Neodiprion lecontei: one gene and its partner. The protein of the gene in region 1 interacts with the protein of each later gene in a pairwise test. Links are inferred from orthologs where the notes say so. Each region holds a gene or a part of one and is shown in the gene's direction. Other genes may lie near its edges.

Region 1 (3,934 bases):
GAGTAGCCATTCAAGCTGAAGGTCAGGAGGATAGCAGACTTGGGGCCGGTTGTACAGCGTCATACATGACCACATCAATCCGAGTCTGGTGTCACCTAAAAATCATGGCATATTTTACGGTCAGTATAGTTATGAGAAAATCAATTTTTGTTTCATTGGTAATTTCATTTTAATATTGACAAAACATGCATATAGAGAATAATATCAGTTTTGAGTGATCCTTGATTGATGCAAACCTCCAACATCGGTAATAATCCAATCGGGCATGGCCAGACTGACGATTGCGAACATGTCAGCTGCCAAAAACAAAGTCCCCGATATAATGGTCAGTTTATCCATCGTGTTGTACTGTTCCACAACGTTTTACGTTTGTTTTCATGCGGGATACGAAGTTTACGCTACCTTGCACGATTTCACCATTGTCTTTCTCTTTTCCTCGTCAATCAATTTCGCGTCACTTATTTTCTCTAAACAATATTTCCACTGCGATTTCATAGGTCAGTTTGTATCTTGACAGATATTATCTGTCTTGTTGTTTATTATCTTACTGATCACGATTTTAGTGGATTTTAAGTTTGGATTTTATTATTATTATGTTGATTATTATCAAATACGTCGAGTTATGAAGGTATCACGAAGTAAGATATACAACACGGAGTACTCCGTGGTCTCAGCTCAGATTTTCTGGATACTCTTGTCAATGCTTCAATCCCTTTCCCAGGGAACATACTTTCTGCCCTTTTCAATCCAAAACATGAACCAGGTGTGTCATACATACATACGTACATCAATTCATAGGGTGCGTTCCACACTACAGACAGTGCTAAGAGTTCCTAGGACAGAGGCAGAGCTACTCATAAACTCGGCAGCGCACAAGAGATAAAAGATCGTGATAACACTGGGAAATATTTTCGGAACGCACCCATAGTAGTGTGAGTGTGTTCGTAAACTTCGACTAAATTCGTCTAATTCTGACGTCTTTTGGAACATGGAGGCACTACTAAACAAATCATGTAGACGAACGAACCACAGTAAATTTGAAACAACGGAGCCTTACAGCATGGAACAACAACACAAAGGGTACAGCGATGAGTGAAGGCAAATTAGTCCATAGCAAATGTCAATCCAAATGTCAAATTGATCAGATTCAGCCAAGTTGAGCCAAGTTAAAGGCGGCAATTGAACTTATTTGACAAAATCGAAAAAAGCCCTTCCCAAGAATTTGAGAAGATAATTGAAGTCGTGAGAATAGGAAAATATCCGCCGACCGGAGAATGTCGCAGCGTTCAAAGTGACCCGTACAGTAATTACCGAGGAATCAATCCCTACCAATATATTTTATACGATCTGTATAAGTTTTATACGAATATAATATAAAATATATAACCTAAATAAGGTTACCAACATGGAATTTGAGGACGACTTTTTCTTCGAGGAGGATAAAATGTTGGTTTACTTATCACAAACTACACATCGCTTGTGTGTGTGTGTGCGCTCTATCATGCTTTATCTTATGTTAATTTCACTTTATCTCTGTTTCTTGTATTCATTTATGCATGCTCAACCACTGTCACCGCTCGGCGGCACAGTCTAACGAACAGCTTCTTATCGCCTCCAGACACAATACCTTCCACCGATACAAATGGAGTCAACGAAGATCTCGGTATTTCTTTAACCGCTCTGCCTCGGGCTAACGTCGAACTGCATCAGCTGACCATGATGGAAGATCGCATGTATGCATATTATTTTGATTATATTACATTTAAATGAGTTTGTTCACGTCAAAGATGTGTATAATGTGTGAAATTAGAAAATTGTTTTGAATTTCTGATATTAAATCTCTGCGTGTCTGCATGTGTGTGTGCGTGCGTGCGTGGGTATGCGTGTGTGTGTGGTCGAAGAACATTTCCTTCCGAATCCGTTTCATCCAGTTCAAGATTTGAGCTCCCAATTTTAAAGGAATTGTCGTTTTACTGCATCTTGCGCTATTTTCTTATTGCTTGCTGCATCGGAGTTAGTCCAGACATAGAACTGGTCGCACGAGACAAAGTGGTCACTGTCACCCAGCTGCCTAACAGCCAACTGTAAGTTTCATGTGATTGGTTGGATCTAATATTGTATATTTATTTGTCTTATTCTTATATGCTGCCAACTGTAAATTTGCATCTGCAATTGATATATATATATATATATATATATATATATATGCCAATGTTCTTCTATGAAAAAAACTTACTTGCACATAAATCAAATAATGACATTGTAACAATTATGTTAAACGTCTCCTAATCTTTATTAACACTAGTATCCTTCAAATAGGGGGATGACCATAACTTCGGGGAATGTCGTGATTCAGAAAGACAGCAGCAATTTAATTGGGATCAGCATTGGAGGTGGAGCTCCGCTTTGCCCTTGTCTTTACATTGTGCAAGTGTTTGATAACACTCCAGCTGCTGCAGAAGGTACACTGCAATCCGGTGACGAACTTGTTGCAGTTAATGGAGCCTCTGTTAAAGGAAAGACCAAAGTTGAAGTGGCGAAAATGATTCAGGCTTGTGATGGACAAGTCAGCATCAATTACAACAAACTGCATGCTGATCCGAGGCAAGGACGTTCCCTTGATATTGCTCTGAAAAAGGTGAAAGTTTCATTTTAAATTAGTGTTTGAGATAATCACATAAACAAAAGTACACTGCTTCTGCATAGCGGATAGGGTCAGATTGTTTTGCTACTTCCTTGATAACTTAATAGATTCACGTTTGATGAGATTCATATGTTCCTTGTTCGTTGTATGAACAAAGTCCCAATTAGTAATTCAAATTTTTGATATTACGAGTTTTAATCTCATTTGAATATTTAGGTTCACGTGTTTCTGAGCTTTGAATTTCAGTAGTTATCGAATTTTTGAACTTTAAATGGATGATTCTCGCAAAATAATTTTATCAAATTTTCACAAGTACAATACATTGAATTTGTGAATTCTCAGGATATTTAATTTTCGTCACGTATCTTACCGGACTAAAATTGTAACATTCCTTGAAGTTTGTTAGCTGACCTTGAATAAACTATTTTCAATGAGGCTGCAAAACCTTATAATTCAATTTTTTTGAGAGGGATTTTCCGTCATTAAAGGTCAAGCACAGACTGGTTGAGGGAATGGGGAGTGCCACAGCAGATGCCCTGGGCTTGTCTCGAGCTATATTATGTAATGATGCGTTGGTTCAGCGATTAGCTGCTCTGCAACGGACAGAAAATTTATACAGGGGCTTAGTGGCTCATGCAAAAGCCACTCTACGAGCTTTTTTTGATCTCACTCAAGTATACAAAGGTATGATGAAATTGTTAATACAATATGCAGAAAGCTTTTGCCCAATATTGATCACAATTGAGTCTAATGATATCCTAAATTGTCAATAGAGCTACCAAAATTGAGTGTATCGTTATTGTTCAAGGCATGTACTTCCATCATTACAGCATTTGGTGATGCTTTTGCGGCCATTGGTGTAAGGGAGCCTCAACCACGTGCGAGCGAAGCATTCAGGCAATTCGGCGAGCAACATAGACAGATGGAAAAGTTTGGAGTAGCGATGCTAAAGGCGGTGAAGCCCATTTTGAGCGACCTTGGAACATATCTTCATAAAGCCATTCCAGACACGAGATTAACGATCAGTAAATACGCGGACGCCAAATTCGAGTATCTTTCTTATTGCTTGAAAGTTAAAGAGTTAGACGATGAGGAGCAGAGTTACGCGGCGCTCCAGGAGCCGCTTTACCGTGTAGAGACCGGCAATTACGAATATCGACTTGTTTTGAGATGCCGACAGGAGGCGAGAACGAGATTCGCTAAATTGAGGTCTGATGTTCTCGTGAAACTTGAATTGCTCGATAATAAACATGTTCAAGACGTCGTATGGCAGCTGCAAAAGTTTGCCTC
Region 2 (3,934 bases), on another chromosome or scaffold:
AGGGAATTTGTGTAAGTTCAGTAAATTGATGCTGGTCAAACAATTGTGGAAGGACAGTAGCAGTCTTTTGTAATTACATAAAGAATAACAACCAGCATCGTTCTTTGATCGATGATAGTATTGATCCAGGTATAAAAAGAAATAGCATAGGACTAAAAATTCATGAGAATAATGGTGTTGGGAAAAGAAACGGGTGAAAAAATTGATTGCAGCTAATTTTTACCCTACAGTTGGCCAGTTGTTTGATTTATTTATTCTCTTTTTTTTTTATTTACCTTTCATAAGGAACACCCAAGTGTTGGCTGCCGGGTGCGTATTGGACGTTTTGACGCATTTTTTCGGCGAGGCTTTGACACGCGGCATGTTACTCAACGTTGTCAATTGACAAAATTGATAATTAATGCTGATTTTTATTTAATGTAATGGGGGAGACATACAGGAATAAAGTTCAGAAGTCGGCCATTTTTAACAACTACCCAGTACCCGGCCGTCGGCCTGTCCGCAGGTTCGGCAATACCATTTTCACTGCTAAGTGCAGCCAAGGTATAAAACATAACATAACATACAAAATATCTCCTATAACTCGACGGAACACCACATGCAATGCCCTCTAGTACCGAAAATATGAAAATGCGAGAGGCCATCCAGTGCTGGATTGATTGAATCTCATGACTCAGTCGTCCTATCATATTTGCTTAATTTAGTTATGTATTGCATGTTGTTTGTTGGAAAATTAAACTCTCTAGTATTTGCTTTACCGGAAACGGGGGCGGGGGGGGGGGGAGGGGGGGGGGCACGTCGCGCAAATGTAAATTTCTCACCGCAAAAGAACGGCTAACGTTTTCGTGTTTCGGTTACCAATTTTGAGGACTTTTTTGGAACTTGAGCGAAAATTTTTTTGGCCTACGTGATTCTTTATTAAAAATTGTAAAAAATGAGACCTTATAGGACCCTTAACGATATGTTGTACCAGAAAGATGGAATTTACAAGATTGGGACATTTTTTTACTTAACGAGGTACATAAAAAAAAATTATCTTATCCCTCTAGGGTTAATAGCCAAATTTGACAACAATATATAAAATTGAGGAAAATTATTAATGAAAAATTGTAACATTAATGTCAGCAGTTTTGTGTGTATGCAAATAAAAATTGATCGATTTTCACTATTTCTCTTCGCACGACCTGTTGTATAGGGACTCAAGCACGACTTTCTACTTGTGCTGATCGCCGCATCTTGGCGTCTCTATTTGTAATATCCCTTTGATATCCCTTTGCTTATGGCAGTTTTTAGTTATTCCTGTAGTCTATGCTCACGAGTATCATGAATATAGGAAAACGTATCTTGCGCATGCCGTGAATTTTTTTACTGACGTATGAACGCGCGAAGTTAATACATTGGCCGGTTTTCTATCATTCAACGTTCAAGCGATATAATTTTGAACACAATGCATGGTTTTTTGAAAAGAGGTAAACTCGGCCCCAGTGACAGAAAGCCTACTTCAAGTTCGAGTTCAAAGGATAAGCGTAAAGGACCTTCACCACCATGGGTTGAAAAATAGTATGTCTAAAGTAATATTATTTATTCGTGGTAATGAGTATTTGTCGAGTACGAAAAAAATATTTTGAAAGGAGTTCTTTCACGACGTGATATCTGTGTTATTATTGAATGAGTTGCACTTGAACTTTTCAACTTCGTATGCAAAAAATTTCAGGATTGGTTACTGAACAAATATACTAGAAAAACGTCTGAAATCCCAATCTTCAGCACGTAGTTTCGTGAGGAGACTTGCTTCTGAAGCAGTTTGGTTAGATAATTATAATACATAGATATTTCAAACTTCTCTTGAATATAAGTCCTCTGCGGTACATATTATGCTGATTCTTGATTATGTTAAAACATTGGATCATAGAAAGTTTTGAATTTCTTCAATCTTGCAAACCAAAATTGAGGTTAATTATGTAGTTTCATAATAATTTGCAAGGAAAATTGAAAGAGCTACATCATATTTACTTGAATTTTTCATCGAACCAGCTTGATTGAAATCTGGCTTCTGCACTGATGTTGAGTACCTTTTATCTTTATCTATTAAATCTTTTCATTTTTTTTTTGAGAGTGTCAAATGGTGAAATTATGTGTAGTGTTCAAAAGTCAATATGATAAGGGTTAGACGTTCATTCAGTTGGCATGAAATGCTTAATTTAGATATTGCGCCATAATAAATTACCCACTAAAAGAGACCTGACTGTAAGAACCTCTGTAAATACTTTAGCTGTATACTTAAATTATCAAATTTGACTGCCACAATTGGTTGAAATAATTGTTTCTAAATATGCCGCGGTTCAAAGTGTAGACCAATGTCACAATTCCATTATGACACGTTAAGCACATTTTTCTCAATTCCACAGTAGACCCAAAACTGTAGAGGATGTTGTTGAACAAGGCGAAGTAGTCAAGGTCTTACAACAATGTCTAGTTGGTGGCGATTTCCCCAATCTGTTGTTTTATGGCCCACCAGGGACGGGAAAGACCAGCACAATATTAGCTGCTGCAAGACAATTATTTGGGGACATGTACAAAGATAGGATATTAGAATTAAATGCCTCTGATGAACGTGGCATCCAAGTAATCAGAGACAAAGTTAAAACTTTCGCACAGTTGACAGCCAGTGGCACAAGACCCGAGTAAGTGAAAAAACTAATTCTATGTCATCTACCTTTGAATTTGAAATCCATATTATTATTTGAACCATTTTAGCATACATTACACAATCCTTATAAAAATAAGTATTATAAACCAATTTAACAGAAGTTCAATACGTTCGGCCATGAATTGTAGCCCCTGGTCTCAACTTCATGTATGTTTCTGAGATTAATGAACTACCAGACTGATTATTTGTGTCTGCTGACTAGATTAGAATTTTCTACATCTCCAATTTTACATATTTGATATAGTGTAATATATATTGTAATATAAGGTAAATTTGACATTATTGGAGATGAGTGTAGCACATACCTAGATCTTTCTTTCATATAATCAACAATTTACACTGCAAAGTACTAGCAATTAGCAAACATAGAGACTGTGAATAGTTACAAATATCTATTGCCAATGATGATTTAGTAAAAGGTTTGAGAAATATTTTGAAATAGCATTTGTTAAATTTAGTGGAAAGATATCCCCAGTTGAGCTCAGGAGTTGTTATAAAATTCTTAACAGCCCTTATTAACAACGGGACATAAAATTTGCTTGAGAGGATATTTGGAAGTTTTAAGTATTGACTTTTTATCTTTATAAAGCATACATCTATCGAAATATGCAATGCATTTTCCTTAGATTTATTTTTTGAATATCATTCCCAAGAAATGTAATGTTATTTCAGTATTTCGTATGACAACTATTCTATTCTGAGGCAATTAATTAATAAAATTTTAGTAAGTATTCCTTTGGCAAACGAAAATCCAACAAAAAAGCATTGTAATAACTCATCTCTAATTTCTTTTTACATTGCAGTGGTAAACCATGCCCTCCATATAAGATAATAATTCTTGATGAAGCAGATAGCATGACTAATGCTGCACAAGCAGCGTTACGACGCACTATGGAACGTGAATCTCGCAGCACACGATTTTGCCTAATATGTAACTACGTCTCTCGGATCATAGAGCCGTTAACATCTCGGTGCACAAAATTCAGATTTAAGCCATTGGGTCAAGAGAAAATCATTGAGCGCCTAGAACTAATTTGCAATATGGAAAATTTGAAAGCAGATAAAGCTGTATTGATGAAGGTAGTCGATGCTTCTGGTGGAGATATGAGACGAGCTATAACATGCTTACAATCTGTATCAAGACTAAAGGGCAAAGGTGCCGAATTTGCAATAGATGATGTACTGGAAGTTACCGGGGTTAGCATCGTTATCTTATGTGAAATT

What was found.
Region 2: the proteins of PRKCA-binding protein (region 1) and replication factor C subunit 4 interact in a two-hybrid assay, tested with the Caenorhabditis elegans proteins (3 studies listed by BioGRID). The link is inferred for Neodiprion lecontei from reciprocal best matches to the Caenorhabditis elegans genes Y57G11C.22 and rfc-4.

Annotation. Positions count from the first base shown.
Region 1 is NC_060262.1:20,832,085-20,836,018, reverse strand, and holds the start of PRKCA-binding protein, read left to right. Parts: upstream 1-985; 5' UTR 986-1,405; coding exon 1,406-1,446; intron 1,447-1,589; coding exon 1,590-1,733; intron 1,734-2,014; exon of another isoform or gene 2,015-2,018; coding exon 2,019-2,084; intron 2,085-2,319; coding exon 2,320-2,638; intron 2,639-3,132; coding exon 3,133-3,328; intron 3,329-3,474; coding exon 3,475-3,934. Other genes in the region: uncharacterized protein C16orf52 homolog A, read right to left, coding at 1-95, 237-339.
Region 2 is NC_060263.1:25,723,598-25,727,531, reverse strand, and holds the start of replication factor C subunit 4, read left to right. Parts: upstream 1-1,269; 5' UTR 1,270-1,447; coding exon 1,448-1,560; intron 1,561-2,408; coding exon 2,409-2,684; intron 2,685-3,513; coding exon 3,514-3,907; intron 3,908-3,934. Other genes in the region: ribonuclease H2 subunit B, read right to left, coding at 276-363. UniProt on the Caenorhabditis elegans protein: The elongation of primed DNA templates by DNA polymerase delta and epsilon requires the action of the accessory proteins PCNA and activator 1. This subunit may be involved in the elongation of the multiprimed DNA template.